Schizosaccharomyces pombe: one gene and its partners. The gene in region 3 interacts genetically with the main gene of each other region. Each region holds a gene or a part of one and is shown on either strand. Other genes may lie near its edges.

Region 1 (7,715 bases), on a different chromosome or scaffold from region 3:
GAGTTATTTGCTGCTAATGGTTTGAGTACTTGTGTTCATCGCATCGGTAAAGTACTTTCCGGCCAGGCTCAAACAATATCTTTTAGCCGTTCTGGTAAAATAATCTTCAAATCAACTCGCTCTAAATTACACGGAATTTGGCATGAAACCTCTTATAAAATGCAAGAAATTCGTGACAATCCTGAATGTGCACGACAGGAAATGGAAAATATTGCCGATAATAATGATCCTGGTTTAGGATACCACCTTACATTTGATCCAAATGTGTCAGTTACCGCTGATTTGGCTTTAACTAGTCGTCCCAAAGTAGCAATTCTTCGTGAACAAGGCGTAAATGGTTATTTGGAAATGGCATATGCTTTTTATGCATCCGGTTTTACTGCCGTGGATGTTCACATGACTGATATCCTCAGCGGTAGAGTTCATTTGGATGATTTTGTCGGTATTGCTGCTTGTGGTGGGTTTTCTTATGGTGATGTTTTAGGATCTGGCAATGGATGGGCTACTTCCATCCTTCTTCACGAAGATGCTCGTAATGAGTTTTACCGTTTCTTTAACGAGCGTAAAGACACATTTGGTTTGGGTATTTGTAATGGATGTCAACTGTTCAGTCGTCTGAAATCACTTATTCCAGGAGCTAAAAGCTGGCCTATGTTTACATTTAATGAGTCAGCGCAATACGAAGGTCGTGCAGTTATGTTAAAGATCGATGAAACAAGTGGTTCAAAATCCATTTTCACTGAAAGTATGGCTGGATCTAGTTTACCCGTGGTCGTTGCCCATGGAGAAGGTAGAGCTGTTTTCGATTCAGAGTCCGATTACGAACAATTTAAGAAGGAAGGTTTGGATTTGATATACTACGTTAACAACTACAACGAGCGTACTAGCCGTTATCCATTCAACCCTAATGGAAGCAGAGATGCTATAGCTGGTGTTCGCTCCCCTTGTGGTCGCTTTTTAGCTATGATGCCTCACCCTGAACGTGTAGTTTTGAAAGTTGCAAACAGTTATTACCCTCATTCGAAAGCTAGCGAGTGGGGCGTTCATGGTCCTTGGATCCGTCTTTTCCAATCTGCTAGAAAATGGGTTGGTTAAAGCATTTATCTTGCCCGGAGAAGCTGAATTGGAGTTCACATGCCGTAGTTTCTTTACAGTTTTGGTTTGTTTCGTGTTACAAAATTTTATAATTATTCTACTTAAATTAATGGTGAAAATTAGATTAAGCTTGGCAGATATAAAAATCGTTAATTATACATTATTACGATTAAATTGCTTTAACCATCGAGTATATGTGTAAAAATTATGACAACTCTTTTCCTTCAGCAGAAACATACAACAGTCTTGTTAAATGTTAACTCTAGCTACCTGTTTTGCTGTTCTATGTTCCATTGTCGATAATGAGTACAATTACTATTAGCCTTTTACGAGCAATTAAAGCTTCGAATGTATATTCGATTTAAAAATTATTAGCAGTAAGCATGGCTTTTCGTGAAAGCTGACAAAGACGACTAGAAAATAAATATGGAAATGAAATCAATACCTCAGTAGTGCCATTGCCAACAGATTTGACACGTTGATCGTATGTCACATCGTAAGTGGCAGCAACCGCACTGTTTATCCGTTCTTCATATTCCGAAGAATCAAATGCCGATTGATTTGATAAAGCGCATTTCTCTAAGTACTCTTGAGTGTATTTTTTCTTTAGAAGGTCGAACTGAAAGCTAACTTCCTCCCTAAGACCATATTCATTTACGGTTTTAGCTAAATCATCTTTAAAAAGGATAAAAGCTGTGTAAACTTCATATTCTGTGGAAATATCAAAACGAGCCATAATTGATCTCAGGTCATTATCATAGTGTTTCTTCACTTCTTCAGCTACATTCAGATATTCAGTTTTAAACCTTGGAAGTTTCATACAAGGATCATAAACAGTATTCATTATCGGATTATAAGTTGCAGGTCTGCCACTTTCTCTTTGGAATCGTGCAGCGTATCTGAAAATTTTGCCAACCGCGGTTTCGGAACGAAAAGAACGAGTTTTTGTTTTTTGCATGAAGTCAGGATATCGTTTGGGATGGTATTTGGCTTGCATTTTACAAGCTACTCCCGATTTAGCAAAATCTACAGCTTTTGAATGCATTTCTGCAAGTTCTAAACACACATTTCCAAATATCCCTTCCGGATTATTATCATGGTCATGGGCCCATGCCTTCCAAGCATTTGAAATTAGACCTAGCGAATCATATTTTATATAATTCACAAAAAATTCTTTTACCGAATCGATAAGTGGCTTTCCTTCCAAAAAATCTATAGACTTCTTGGGAGATGATTCAAGCAATGGGGGATAATTAACAATTTTAGGAAGAAGACGTTGATCCCATATAACTGTGTACTCATCCCCATCCAGATCACCACCAGAGCACATAGCAGGAATGCTTCGATCACCCGTTGTCGGAAACACTATCACATTTTTTAAATGCATAAGCTCATCGCATCTGACAGCTTTACAGACACGTACGTCACCTGGATGAAGCGAGGGATTCCTTGCAACAATACACAATCCAACTATAACCCTTGTTTTCAGCTTTCCAGTTGAATATGAACCAAAACTGGTAGAAGTGTCGGTAATTTGGATGAAAATTTCAGGTACTGACAAAACAGCATCATCATAATGACCCTTTAGTGTTCCAGTTTCATCAGCTACACCAAGTAAATAGGCACCCTTTGGAACACTAACTTTTTGTTTTTCCTTAATTAACCTAAGAACCCATTCATAATATAGATTTAATAAATTCTCGGTGAAAGCATCATCTCTTTCAAGGAAACCGGCCTGGATAAAATCAGCAATAATTAAAGTAGAGTGATATTCATCTACGTTGTCCCGTAACATTAAAATGGATTTTTGTTTGCTGTTTATCGATTCGTTCATTTTTGACAACTGACTTCTAGTCAATTCCAAAAATACGGTTTTTTCAACCCCGAGTCCTTCCAATAAGGTGATCAGTTGCATATTCAGATGGGCATTTGAAAATCGAGATATTTTAATAACTTCCAAGGTACTATGGAATGATTTAAATTTATCTTGACTACGGCGTGGAAACACAAGATTTCCTTGATGGTATTCAAGCTTAGTCGGAGGAGCTAAAGATAAAACGCCTTTATAACCACCCATACGAAATTGAAACGCAGAGGGAAACATATCATGATTTTTTACTTCCAAAGAAAGTCTTCGAATTACAGATAATGATGCCATTCCAACCCCATCAGTAAAGCAGTGGTTGTTACGAACAATATCATCCTGAAGGGATATGTCAACACAAAATCGATTAATTTCCTTTGTCGTTGAAAAGCATTGTCCCATCCTTGCTGCATACTTAGATACTGAATTGATTTCACTAAAGTCACCCATCCATTCCCTGATCTGTTTGGCATTTAGATCAGATCCCGAAGCAAAAAAGTAAGCACCATGCTCTCTTAATTGAGAATTTCCAAAAGCTAAAAATTCGTAAATTTGATTACCAACTTTAATTCCGTAGGTTAATAATTGTTGGATGCGAGAATACAATTTTTCATTTCTAAACCCATCAGAACCGCCTCGAATTTTTTGCTTATAGTATTCATCAGTTATTTGCACACGCATAAAACGGTTTGCAAAGTCCTTAAAATTTCTTATAACACGATTTCCTGCTTCTAATGAGTCTTCAACTATTCGAAGAGTAGTAGGTGTAACGTACAATTTTTTAATGTGAATAGAAGAAGCGGAAGATAAATCGTAAAAGACAAAAGACTTAGTAAAATCTAGCTCAGAAGGATTTATTAAAGCGGTTTTGGACGTTAGAATTAGTCTTAGGAATTTTTTTGCTCTCTCTTTCGATAATTTCTTTAAATTCGCCAATATAATGGGCAAATCAATTTCTGATAATAAGTTTTTAGAAAGGCAAGCCTGCAAAAGATAAGCAATCTCTTCCTCAATTTCTTTATCATTTATTAGACTACAGCGATGTTTGTAGTCTGGGACAAGATGGAAAACCACTTTATCAAGTTGACTTTTCAAATTGAATTTTTCCAAGTTGTGTAAAAGAAAGGCAATGTCATCTTTATCAGACTCATCCCTTATGGAAAAGCTAAGGACTAAAACATTGCAGCGTCCAATGGGGGCGTTATGGCAATTAAGTAGCTCTATAGGACTAGCAGTCGTTGGTGAAACATTGAAAGGTAGAATATCATAATGTCGTCTCCAAAGATGAGATGCAGTCCAGAAAGTTTGAACTCTGGATTCAGTTGCATTTTTAGATTTTCTGAAAATTAGTGGAGAAAATCTAAATCTAAATACGAGGGAAATATGATCATCGTAATAATCCGTCCCTACATCGCCTATTATGGAATGAAAATCGAAGTCCAGACGAAAGGTTTCGATCTGTTTGTCAAAAGAAGCATCAAAGAGAACACAGAGCTTTTTGAAATTAAAATATACAAGTAAGTTTGATTCAGTTACAGTTATTCCACAATCAACACCAAACAGTGGGACAATTCTTTCATCATAAACTTGCCCGAGCTTAAAGGAGGATAACGGGATTTTTACTAGCTGATCGCTTCTAAAACTATTCTTAGAGAAAACTTGTCGGCTGATGTGGGAACGATGTGCTGTTATGTCAATTTGAACAGCTAGATCAACACCTTTGACATTTATTTTCCCATTTGGTTCCCAGAATGGAACTTTGGGAGGAGGAGCAAATTGGACTATTGCAGTAGTACTTGTCTGTCCATTCAAAGGTTCATTAATCTTCATGAATTCTATTGTACCGTAATCATGAAGGGGTTCCCACAAGTTGTATAGTTTTCCTCCCTCATTTGAAAGCCAAGTAACTGGAATATCTTTTATGACAAGTGTAATCATATCCCCCAATCTCCAAGTACTACTTCTTTGGATTAGACAATTATCATTTCGTTTATTAGCCGAGTGCAACTGAGCTTCATTATTGTGAACGGAAGCCCATTTCTTTTGCTTTTTGTTTCTATATGGGACTCTAAGTCTTTCCCAGGGTGACTCACGAGAATAACGTTTTAATTTAACACTTATAAAGTCATTTAACGAAACTGCCATTGCTTTACATTGCCATACAAAATCTGGATTTAATTATAACCCTGACAACAAATCAATTTGGAACCTTTTGTAAAAATAAAACACTAAATCTCATAGCGCCTTTATGCAGTATCAGCAGCCTCGCTCTGCGAAGTGGTCTTTTATCATAGAAGATTCCTTTCAGCTGGCTATAAATTCGTTAGATACGAAAAACCTTCGATTTATATAAAAAAGATTATAATGTTCCTATTTATCCACTTATACATACATGTATATGTGTGCCTTTTTAATTTAATTGACCGTTATAGTATCAATATCTATGAATTGCTCTTGAAGGAAGTTTGTAGCACGGTGGAATAAAGTTAAGTGAAGGCTCCTTTACGTATAGGGAAGTAGAATCAAAATACTAAGAATACATATTCATCCTATATGAACCGGCAAGTTGAATTTCAGTTTTCAATCCAAAGCAGATATTGAGGTAGTTTTTTCACCAAGGAATAAAAAATTGTTAGGAAACTTCCATCAGTTAAACGACTGATATCATGCACCTTAATTCATGTTCAATATCGTGTTATAATATCTAGCTGATATTTACTATAAATTTATTTTTTAAGCATGGTATATAATTTGAGCTACGTAGCTTTACTCGTTTCAAAATTAAGTGCAGCCCTGATATTCCAAACCCCTCGTCAGCGCTTGATTTTACAAACACGTCCAACTACTTCGGCAAAGCAAACAACTTAATAGATTTTTAAAAATAGAGCAATTGCTCAAGGATAAATTAATTTATTATTCCTATTTGTAAATACCACAAATAGGTTCTTCATTCCCTTATTTTAATTGGTAAATTGTTAAACTTATTTCAAATGTGAAGCATTCAATTTAACATCCTTTAGATACATAATATTTATTCTTCTATCAGAAACTTGAAAAAAAAATGCCTGACAATCCATCTTCTTTTGAAGATGAATTCATGTACGCAGCTAGAGAATATCGGGTGTTTGAGCTAATTTTTTGTTAGGAAATCTAATCATTTAAGTGTTGCTTCGGAGTCCATACCAAATGAAAGCCAAAGACAGGTATGTACTGAAGTTAAATAAAAACAACCTATTACTAAAACTGCTTTTTAAAAGTCACCGACGCGATTACGAGTCGGTACCTCTAAAACAGATGATATTTATCGACAAAAACGGCAAACAAAACATATCATTTCACAAAATGAAGTTTTTTTACAGCCTAAATTTTTCGATAATCAAAATTTTGATGCTCAAAGCTGTATGTGTAATTATGTCTATTGGAAACTAATTTTGCAAAAAAGATTTAAACGATGTTTTACAGGACCTTAGTGAAGATGAATTTGTGTCTTTATACAATAAGCTTCTACGCATTCACATGGGCGTCCGTAAAAATTTGGAAAAGAATTTTTACAAAAATTTGAATGAATATGTATTTATATCAGGGGAGGTTGAGAGCATGACTTCAGATTTTAAAAAGTTTCAGTCTCTGTTGAAAACCCTGGAGACTGACATTGAAGGATTAAACTTGGTCGACCATACGCATGACCCTTCCGACGAATCAATAAAACAAACGGTACAGAGACTACGATCATCCATTGAAGGGCTAGATGAAGCATTCTGGGAAGCGCCTCAAAGACAGCTTATATGTGAGCAATACAATTGGATGTTAATCAATATTGACAATCAGAGACCTAAGCTTCTTGTCAATATGCTTCTGTTTAATGATAGACTGTTGGTTACTACTTCTCACATGAAAGAAGTTGATTTCCCTGCTAAGCAGCAGGTTTTGTATAATTGGAATTTAACCGAAATTTCTATTTCTTCAATTGAAACTTATGGACCAGCAGGTGCTGAAATGCTGCAGAAGGAGAAAGAGGTCTCTCTATACAAACTGTCAATTAACCATAACAATAAGACCACATTGTTGGCAGTACACAATAGTGAAGAAAGGGATTATATGGTTCGTCAGGCTCGCCATCACCAGCTTCAAGAACTAGAAAATTGGTCTAGAAAGCATGATGAAGATCTCGAATTTAGTCGTGAACTAGAATATCATACTAAATCGGAACAAGCCGATATGTGTTCGTATACATCCTTTCAAGTCCTTTGTAAAAATCTGGATACTCAGGACATCCTTCAGGCTTATGCCAAACAGAGAAACATGGTAAAGGAAATATCTATGCAATTTGATCATCTCGACATACAAATTAGCTTACAAGAGTTTACGGATGCTATTAGAAATTTGGCTTTGATACAAAATAAGCTAGAGCGTGGTAATCTAAACGAGTTGTTTGCCGAATTTTTTGCAGATAAACTTCACAATAGAAAGCGAAAGGTGACGGAAATTTTACTTCATCAACTTGGATTTAAAGGAATCAGTCTTTCCCACGGGAAAGAAATAGTTCGTTATTTACGCTCTTTAGGCCATGAAAAGGAGGGACAAGGTGTATTTATGAAGTCTAGGACCTTATTGATTAAAGAAAAGTGTCTGAATGTTCAATTGGAAAAAGACACTCCTAATTTCATCGATGCTTGCGCGTTCATAGTGTTTCGTTGTTTAGCGCAAACTACTAGTTCTTATTTGCAATTATTTGAGTTGAAAAAATTGGATCCCG
Region 2 (4,754 bases), on a different chromosome or scaffold from region 3:
AAATTAATTATCTTCTGTTCTAAGATACGTTCAAGTTTTACTCAAAAAATCAATGTGTACATCAGAAGGTTGGAGTATTTACCTACGCTTAAAATCAAATTTGCTTTGAAAAGATATTAACTTTCAAATGTTCAAAATTGCCGGAAAGCGCATAAAAAATATTATTAACTACTTATTAAAACATGTTAAATAAAGCATGAACAATTCCAAGCAATTTTTGAAGTACCAACCCTTACTTGAATGGCTAGCAAAACACGAAGCTTACATTTCACCCAAACTGTATATCGCTTCAAGTGGGGTCGCAGGAGATGGTATATTTTCTACCTTTGATATAGATGAACTTGAAGTTTTAGCAAAGATTCCTAGAAGGATCATTCTGAGTCCTCGCAACTCAAGATTTGGAGATTCGTTGTATACACATTTTAATGAATCTAATCGGTCTGATGATATTAACTTTGACAATAGAGATCAGGTTGGGCTGGTCATGCTCGTTATAACTGTAATATTGGAAAATATAACAGATAGTCCGTGGAACGCTTATTTAAACACCTTGGACGAAACTTGTATGCCTGATTCCCCATTATTATGGAAAGATAAAACGTGTCTTGAGGGAACCTCAATGCTTGATGTAATAAATACAAATTTAAGAGTATACAAAAATCAATATGATCAATTGGTCCGCCCTTACTTTTATAAACATGCTGATCTCAAACAGCTTTGTCCAAAATGGAATCAGTATTTAGAGACTTGTGTTCTCGTCCAAAGCAGGTGTTTTTACGTTAACAGCTACTACGGTTTATCTTTAATACCCTTTTTCGATATTTTTAATCACAAGTCTGGTCCAGCTATTGCTTCGCTACATTGTCAGGAGTCAAATGATCATAAAGGCGATATCAAAATAGAATTTATTTCTTTTCAGTATATACGAAAGATGTCCGAAATATTCAACTCCTTCGGAAACTTTGCCGCTGATGAATTGTTCACGCAGTATGGATTTATTGATACCGCTTGCAAAGTTTGGCGCGTCGACATGACAATGATTGCTTATGAAACTAACAGAAATTTTTATATGGAGTGGATTCATAAAAAAAGAATAATCAACACCCAGGAGTTGCTGGTCACCCCAACTACATACGCAAATGACAAGTCTGAGACTTTACGTTCAGTAATGATAAGACAACCTATGGATCTTTATATAATAACAGATCATGGTCCCAGTTACGGGCTTTACTTATATTTATTTTTTTGCATTTACAAAATCAAATTCCAAAAGTGCGATATGAATATAGTAATGCTTACAAAGTATTTTAATGAAATCTGGGCTGTGTTTATAGCACATAAGGAGGGAGAAAAAGAAAAGGTTGTTGCTCAACTCTCTGGTTTTTCTTTTTATTGTAAGGCTATAGAATTTCTACAGATGCTGTGTCAAAAGCGCATTAGTCGTTTCAAAAATGGTGGGTTGACTGCTGAAGCTTATAAGACTCTATTGTGCGATCCGACTCTTAAACGAGAGAATAGGTCTCGTTTAGTCTTACAAATTTTTTATCATGAACTTAATTTACTCGAAAAATCAATGCAAGAAACAATTTATCTTTGTACTGAAAATTTTGAAGATTAAAAAAACAACATACAACGGTTGGAAATGTTGCATAAAAGGAAAAGGTAAGATCGAAGTTCAGCTTAAATTTTAATCATAATTTTGTGCCCTTCTTAATTAACATTGTAGTAACTTTATGATGTTTTCCAAAACCCTGCATCGTTCCCTTTCTAGATGTCCTGTGTAATAAATAACCTATTTGCCATTTCAAACTTTCGGTATAAACAGCATCAGAAATATGAAAGCGTCAAATTAAGCAAATGAATTAGTAGGCATAGAAATAAGAAATCCGATGACAATTTAGATGAAAACCAGTGTAGAGCACATAAAGTGTACAATTTGTGAAGGAATAACATAATATTAATCGTGCATGGTAAACTATGCTTTCCATGGCATTCTTTCTTATGAGAAAAGGAAGTAGAAAACGCATTTATAAAATGACTTTACTGAAAATACATATGGCATCTTTTTCCCTTTAGTTAATTAAACTAAATGATAAAATATTAAAATTAGTCACCGTCTTTGATGATTTGGAGATCAAAATATCCCGGAAATAGTTTTTTGAACCGCAAAATTCCAAACTGTTAAGCTAACCGATCCTACATGCCATGTTAGTATTTCAGCTGCCATTGTGATAAATGAAAATAAAAATAAAAAAAAGATTTTCAGAATTTTCATTAAAAACAACATACCGTAGATTGATCGTGGAAGAGATAGCACCCATAGAGCCCAAGAAGGAAGCAAGAATGCAGGGAGGAAAAAGACAGGTGTTTTGGACTCTTTGAATTGAATATAAAACCGGAATCCACGGGTTAAAATCCAAAGAAAAAGGCTTAAAACCCGCTTGAAAGTATCTTGGAAAATTTTAACATTGGCTGATTGTTTTTCCCACTCTTGACTGAGTTGTTCATACTTTCTATTCAGACGGGCCCATTTAGCAAACTGATCTTGACTGCTAGTAGCGTTTAGCTCTTTCTTAACAGTAAGCAGCTGCTCTAAAATTTCTTTGTTCTTCTTTAAATCTTTATTATTAGAAACACTAACGTAAATTCGATAAGCCTTTCACATTATTAGTTTTCTTTACAACAAGTATATATGTTAAATTACCCCATCAATAGTCCTTTTTTTTGCAAATTTATCGAAGAAATGAATAAATAAGCTTAATAAAATTGTTGAAATAATCAGATCCATCATAAAATATGGACTTGTAAGAAAGTACAGTGGTTAGTGTCAAACGTGTAACTGTTGAGTATCACGCTCCCTATGACATGCTGGTCTAAAGGTCGAAACTAAACACAAGTTTGTTTGTTACGATATTAGCTATTTTGTGTTAGAAAATAATAATCTATTAACCTTTTAAAGTTCAGAAGAATTGATGTTAAGTATATTTATCTAGCTTCTGTAATATTAAATAGAAAAAATAGATAAAATAGCTATATGATATTCAATTGACAAATACTTTGATCATGAGATCCATGAAAGTAACTATTTTCATTCATAACGCTTTATTTAAATTCAGTAAATTGACAAATTAGGCAGAAGGTTGTTGAGGAGATGGGGGGATTGGTGGATTTCGAGGATCGTGATCATTTTTATACTCAGACTGACGCATAAGTTCAGAAATATTTAAATGTTTGTATGCATATGGCCTTGGTCCAAGAATCGTCTCAACTTCGTTATAAGTGATGACTTCTTTCTGTAATAGACGTTGAGCAATATTTTCTAAGCCTTGCTTATGTTCTAGCAAAAGTTTCTTAGTTCTTTCGTATGCATGCTTTACAAGCTTTCGAATTTCTTCATCAATCATTTGAGCTGTAGCCTCAGAAAATGGTTTTTGAACAGTTTCCCGAGTGTCGATGGGATAAGCTATAGTACCAACAGTCGGAGACATACCATATTGGGTCACATACGCTTGAGCCATGCGCGTTACTTTTTGAAAATCATCGGAAGCTCCCGAAGTAATCTTTTCTGGTCCAAAAAATATTTCTTCAGAAACACGCCCAGCCAAAGCCATTCCCATTTGATCTAAAATCTGCCCTCGACTCATCAGATACTGATCTTTGGGTAAATAACTAGCATAGCCAAGGGCTTGAGCTCTAGGAATGATTGAGACCTTCAATAGTGGATCGACGTACTCCATAAACCAACCAGCTACCGCATGTCCAGCTTCATGATGAGCAACGGTGTTTTTTTCTTCAGGACTTAGTACCCTACTCTTCTTTTCCAAACCTGCCGTGACTCTTTCAATAGCTTGCTCAAAATGTACCATTTGGACTTCATTACTATTTGATCGTGCTGCAATTAACGCTCCTTCATTACATACATTCATTATATCAGCTCCTGTAAAACCAGAAGTTAGGACGGCAAGACGCTTGGCAATTAAGTCGATGTTATCGGCTGCCTTAATATGCTTAAGGTGGACCTTAAATATTTGTTCACGACCGCCAATATCAGGACGATCAATCGTAATTTGACGATCGAATCGACCAGGACGTAGAAGTGCCGGGTCCAATACGTCTGGTCGATTAGTACCAGCGAATACGACGATATGTTCGCTAGACGTAAAACCGTCCATTTCAACTAATAGCTGATTAAGAGTGCTTTCGCGTTCATCATTGGAACCAAATTGTCCTCCACGTCCTCTTGCTTTACCAATTGCATCAATTTCATCTATGAAAATAATACAAGGAGCGTTCTTGCGAGCAGTAGCAAAAAGATCTCTTACGCGGGAAGGTCCAACACCAACAAACATTTCAAGAAACTCAGAACCTGACACACTTAAAAAAGGGACGTTAGCTTCACCAGCGGTGGCTTTAGCAAGAAGAGTTTTACCGGTACCAGGAGGACCAGAAAGAATGGCACCACGAGGAATTTTAGCCCCCAACCTTTCATAAAACTTGGGATTTTTTAAAAATTTGACGAATTCCATAATCTCTTCTTTAGCCTCGTCAACGCCAGCGACATCAGCAAATTTTATTTTGATATCAGTTTCATGATTAAACATCTTCGCTCGGCTCTTACCAATTCCAAAAATGCCACCTTGACCACCTCCTGCGGCACCCGAAGCCCGTCGCGATAAATAAATGACACTTCCAATGATCAGTAAGGTGGGAGCAAAAGACAATAAAGTAGCAAGAACAGAGACTTCGTCATGATA
Region 3 (4,681 bases):
ACGTATCCTTAAAAGCATTTTGCAAACTGCGTAATTGCCAATCTTTCATGTAAAGCTACAAGCGATATGGATATGGGAAAAAGCATTACTTTTTGCTTGGGCTGAATGTTGGCTAGTTTGGAGGGTGAAATAGTTTATTCAATACAATTGAGTACTTTATTTTTTTCCATTTGATTTTTTTGAACAGAAATGGGCTAATTACTAGGATATTGGGAAATCGCATTGTTTAAAAGAGGTTCTCGTTTTACATCAAGGTCGATTTTTCATATTTATTTGTTTTAGAAAAAAGTATCATCTTATATTTCCTGTATTACTGGTTTTCTAATTCTAAAACTTGAAAATGGTGGATGAAACGTTACATACTAGATTGTTTACAGTATACCGAAAGGATTAGAGACTCGTGAACATTCGTAAAAGCGACATGCTTATACTTCCAAGAGAACGAAAAGCGAATTTCATTTCTTATTTACAATAGAATAGTTATTCTCATCATTCAGTCACGATCACTTTTTTCTTTACCAAAAATTGTATACCTAAATAGCACAGTATAATCCACCGCAAATTAACGTATCGTTAATATGTTTATGATCAAATACTATGTATTTGCATACCAACGCTGCGATACATTAAATAAAAACAAGCAGAAATATGAGAATTCAATAATAAAGGAAACATTTAATAATTCCAAAAGCGAATTGCTAATTTTTTAATTACTTTATTTTACAATATCCTATAGCACATCAATGAAATCAAGGTTTTCAGTCAAGGTTGGAGTGATGTTGAGAGTAGTAAGTGTAAATACTAAAACCCATTGCGAATACTTAGTGGATAATATCTGTTTCTTTTTTACCAAAGTCTCTCTCTTTGTATAGCTTATCAAGTTATATGTTTGGCGCAATTCATTTGTTTAAAATACAAACATAAAAACAATATAGTTGTAATGAAATTGTTATTAAATTAGTCGATGAGGGAAGTATGAGTATGCAAAACAAAAATAAAGAACCAAGAGAAAAAAAATCGAAAACTTTTTAAAAGGCATTATGAGGGCCGGTAAAATAATGCAGCGTTAGGATCAGTTGCATGCTTTTCCAATGAATAATCTTTTCGAGAATCAAAGACTTCCCAATGCACACATGGAAACACATGGCGATTTTGTAAATAATATGATTTTTGAACTAGATGAGGAATGCATTGAGAAGGAAGTTGTGTAGTTGCAACCATTTCTGGACTAGAGCATGACAGCTTATCAAAGTCAAATAAAAGTCCATCACGTCCTTGAACTTTATTAATGTAAAAGTAGTAAAGCTCATGGTGATGGGGAATGATTAAATCAGATTGAACCAGTAAAAATTTATCCATATCCAGAATCCTCTTCAAAAATGGGATTTGCTGTTTCATATCAGCAAGAAAGTGTCCAACCGAATCTTTCAATCTAGTCCTTACATGATAAGTGGTACTTGTTCCATCGTAATAGATAAATGGTATCAAAATCTCTTTTTCCCGAATTTGCTCCTGCTCTTTTAGCCATTGTTTGCGATATTCGGCTCGCTTCGCGTTTTCACGTATTTCTCGCTCTGCATCTGGCAAAAAGGAGGTATCCGCAGATGGATCCTTTCCCATAAACATTTTTTTCTCAACTTTTTTTAAAGGTAGATCATCATTCTCCAGTTCTTCATCTTCACCAAAAGAAAGTTTTCCTTTGTTAACTTTAATGCCCTGTTTGACCTTTTTGCTTAAAGCATCTTTTCTCTTTTTTCTAAAATTGAATTGTCAGTCATATTTAGAATACTATCGGGCTTTTCTCGTTCTTTTCACTTACATTTTAGTACTTGTGGTTGATAGCGCATGTTTCTCTCGTTTTTCAACGATGTTTTGTTTTACTCTTTGATAATCCTTTAAATGGACTAAACCAGTCGTACTATTTCGTAAAATCTCATGAATTTCATCGGCATCAGTATGGCCGCTCATTGTATGAAGAATTCAAAAAAACGTGAGTGGTGAGCGTTCTTCCAAATAAGCTTGAATACCCAAAATACCCTTTTTTTGCCTCGGTTTTCAAATCTCAAAATGAAAGAAATGACTATTACTATATTTATCGTAGAAGAAGAACATGTTTTTTACATTTACCTATGAGGGATCCTAGAATAAACGCACACTTTGCCAAAGTCACGTTGCATATAAGTTTTTTATATTTGTCAAAACGGTTATTAAATAGAATAACAACGAGGTGGGGCACTTTGAAGCATTCTGTAATCTTTAACTGCTTGTATAGACACTTTTTAAAACCAATCTAGAGACAAATAAAACGAATTACTCGTTTGTATTAACAAGCTTTGGAAAAATAGCAATAGATTAAAAACAAAAAAAAAACTAGCTAATCACTAGTGTTGCTATAAATACTCTAATAAATTTTCGTATCTGGTCATTGAATGCAAAACCATCTTTCGAATGCCAATATATAAAGTCATTAAAGTGATCCTAAAAAATCATCATTATCCAATGTTCATCAAATTCATTTTAATTTGTCCACTTCGCATCGCTAATAAATATGAAGCTCGCTGGTATACTGTCAGATAAAATAAAAAGAAAATTTTCAAGAGCTGTCCCCTTTGAATATACGTGGCATATGCTTTCCACGAAATTGCTCAATTGAATTGGCAATACCAAAGTTTCGGCCAGTTTCCACTACTAAAAAGCAAGCAAGATCCTCACTACTCCAGTAACTGCTATGAGCCGAAAGCATAGAAAGATATTTGTTTGAAATGACCCCATGGGCACTCGTAAATACGTAGTCCAACTGAGAGTTTTCATTCAACTCTTGCATGCGCCACTTGGCCCTTTCTTCTCTGCGAAAATTGCGAGTCTCTAACTCGACAGTCTGTTCAGGCTCCAGTGGGACCACTGCTGTGGGCTCATTGTTTTTATTTTGCTGCAAAGATTGATTGTAACTTCGAAGTTCCACAGGATCAGTATTAGAATGTGAGATCATTCTCAAAATACTTGAAGATTTTCTTGTGAACAGTATACGAGTTGGGTGGATGCCTTTCGAAAATGAGAGATCCACTGTGGGATTTAATCGCATCGCAACGGCTAATTTGTTAGTAAATACGATAATTTAATGATGCGCTTACGATCAAGGTGATTATAGATGTTATAAAAAGAGTCGACTGCGAGACATCCGTACCGATCATAACCATCGTAAGTATATGACTTTGGAACATCAGAATTTATAAAGTTTTTATTTATTTCGTATCTTGATGAGCCTCTTCCACGACGAGGAATAATACTTTGTTGATTCAAATGCAAAAAAAAACCTACCGGACCACCAAAACAAAAAAAACCGTTTGTGTCGAATATAAAGCAGCTTTCATCATCGTCTATAGTAATTTCTTTGACAAAAGTGGGTTGAAGTGACAAAATATCAAAAACAACTGTGGAGCCCAAAGAATGCCCAATTATAAAGATACGGCCCTTGTTTTCTAAAAAGTAAGGATTGCAGTCCTTCCACAAATGGTAAACCCTATTAGCTTCACGAATTACAGACTTTATAATGGATTCTTTGTGATGAGACATATAATAGGGAATATCACTCATCACATCTCCTAATAACCTTCGCACCGCTGGAATGCTATCAATTTCAATATCCTCAATTGAAAATCGATTTTCTTCAAATTCTTCATCCTCAACCCGTCCTTCATCACCGGCAACTGGCTTTATATATGAATTAAAATTAAGCTTATTTCTCCAACATATCGGAAGAAGTTGTGGTTCATAATCGTTTCGAATCAACGGATCCTCTTTCATTATGTTTTTCTGAATTTGGATCAATGAACGAAAAACGTTGCACGTCTTGGTAAATAAGAATCGTTCCTCTATATTGTCAACATTAGTAATTGAATGCCGGTGTAAGATAAAAAAAAATCAAGTTTACTTACCAGTCTCTGATCTTTTTTGACCGATACCATGAACCACCAAAAAAAGATCTGTAACTTGTTTAGGTCCATTAAAACCATCATCTTCAAAGTAAGGAAAATCTCGAACGACCGGCATACCTTTAATACTGGTCCTTCGAGATTGAGTCCCTTTTGAAAAATAGGATAACAAACCTCCTTGACAAATGAGTGCTCTATATCCGTCTTCGTAAAATACATATTTGCCAGAGGAGGTAGGTTTAAGAGGCCATTGCATCGCATCAATTAATTCCTTAGAGGACTTGTTACGTTTATGAGACAATACAGAAGGATCATCTTGAGAATCCTTCCCTTCTTCTTCTTCTTTTAAAACATTATCCCAGTTAACGGCGTATGGCTTCACTTCCTGGTAGCCCTCTTCTAACATATCCGACAATTCATTGATTACAGGAAGACCCGTATCTTCGTACATCCAAAGACCGCGAACGACTCGTAAGGTATCATTTTTACTGGCACTTGGCCAGTATAGAGGCTTTAAAGTAAGAGTAGGTAAGTTTACCACATGAAGCCCAGAAATTCCAACAATGACCTGCTCGTTAGTTAAGCTCACATATAGATTAAAAAATTAGTTACATTCTTCTGATTTGGCTCTTGAGACACCTCCTCTGTAATAATTTCATTGTATTTTGCTTCTAAAGCGTTATTATCGTAGTTCAAAAACCGCCTCCAGGACTGCGCCCCAGTCAACTCCATAGAAGAAGTCTCATCGT

What was found.
Region 1: mutations in xap5 (region 3) and rdp1 together harm fitness less than expected from each alone (positive genetic interaction), as found in Schizosaccharomyces pombe (2 studies listed by BioGRID).
Region 2: mutations in xap5 (region 3) and get1 together harm fitness more than expected from each alone (negative genetic interaction), as found in Schizosaccharomyces pombe (3 studies listed by BioGRID).

The regions. Positions count from the first base shown.
Region 1 is NC_003424.3:1,322,642-1,330,356, reverse strand, and holds rdp1 (RNA-directed RNA polymerase (RDRC) Rdp1), read right to left. Parts: upstream 5,417-7,715; 5' UTR 5,352-5,416; exon of another isoform or gene 5,272-5,351; 5' UTR 5,105-5,271; coding exon 1,457-5,104; 3' UTR 1,296-1,456; downstream 1-1,295. Other genes in the region: phosphoribosylformylglycinamidine synthase Ade3, read left to right, coding at 1-1,095; exo8 (exocyst complex subunit Exo84), read left to right, coding at 6,021-6,058, 6,105-6,162, 6,217-6,358, 6,402-7,715.
Region 2 is NC_003423.3:4,316,984-4,321,737, reverse strand, and holds get1 (GET complex subunit Get1), read right to left. Parts: upstream 2,830-4,754; 5' UTR 2,792-2,829; coding exon 2,705-2,791; intron 2,657-2,704; coding exon 2,290-2,656; exon of another isoform or gene 2,197-2,289; coding exon 2,135-2,196; 3' UTR 1,619-2,134; downstream 1-1,618. Other genes in the region: SPOM_SPBC16C6.01C (lysine methyltransferase), read left to right, coding at 197-1,618; m-AAA protease Yta12, read right to left, coding at 3,129-4,754.
Region 3 is NC_003421.2:752,544-757,224, reverse strand, and holds xap5 (splicing factor, xap-5-like protein), read right to left. Parts: upstream 1,974-4,681; 5' UTR 1,969-1,973; coding exon 1,820-1,968; exon of another isoform or gene 1,757-1,819; coding exon 1,039-1,756; 3' UTR 935-1,038; downstream 1-934. Other genes in the region: SPOM_SPCC1020.13C (DDHD family phospholipase), read right to left, coding at 2,594-3,090, 3,132-3,872, 3,936-4,500, 4,545-4,681.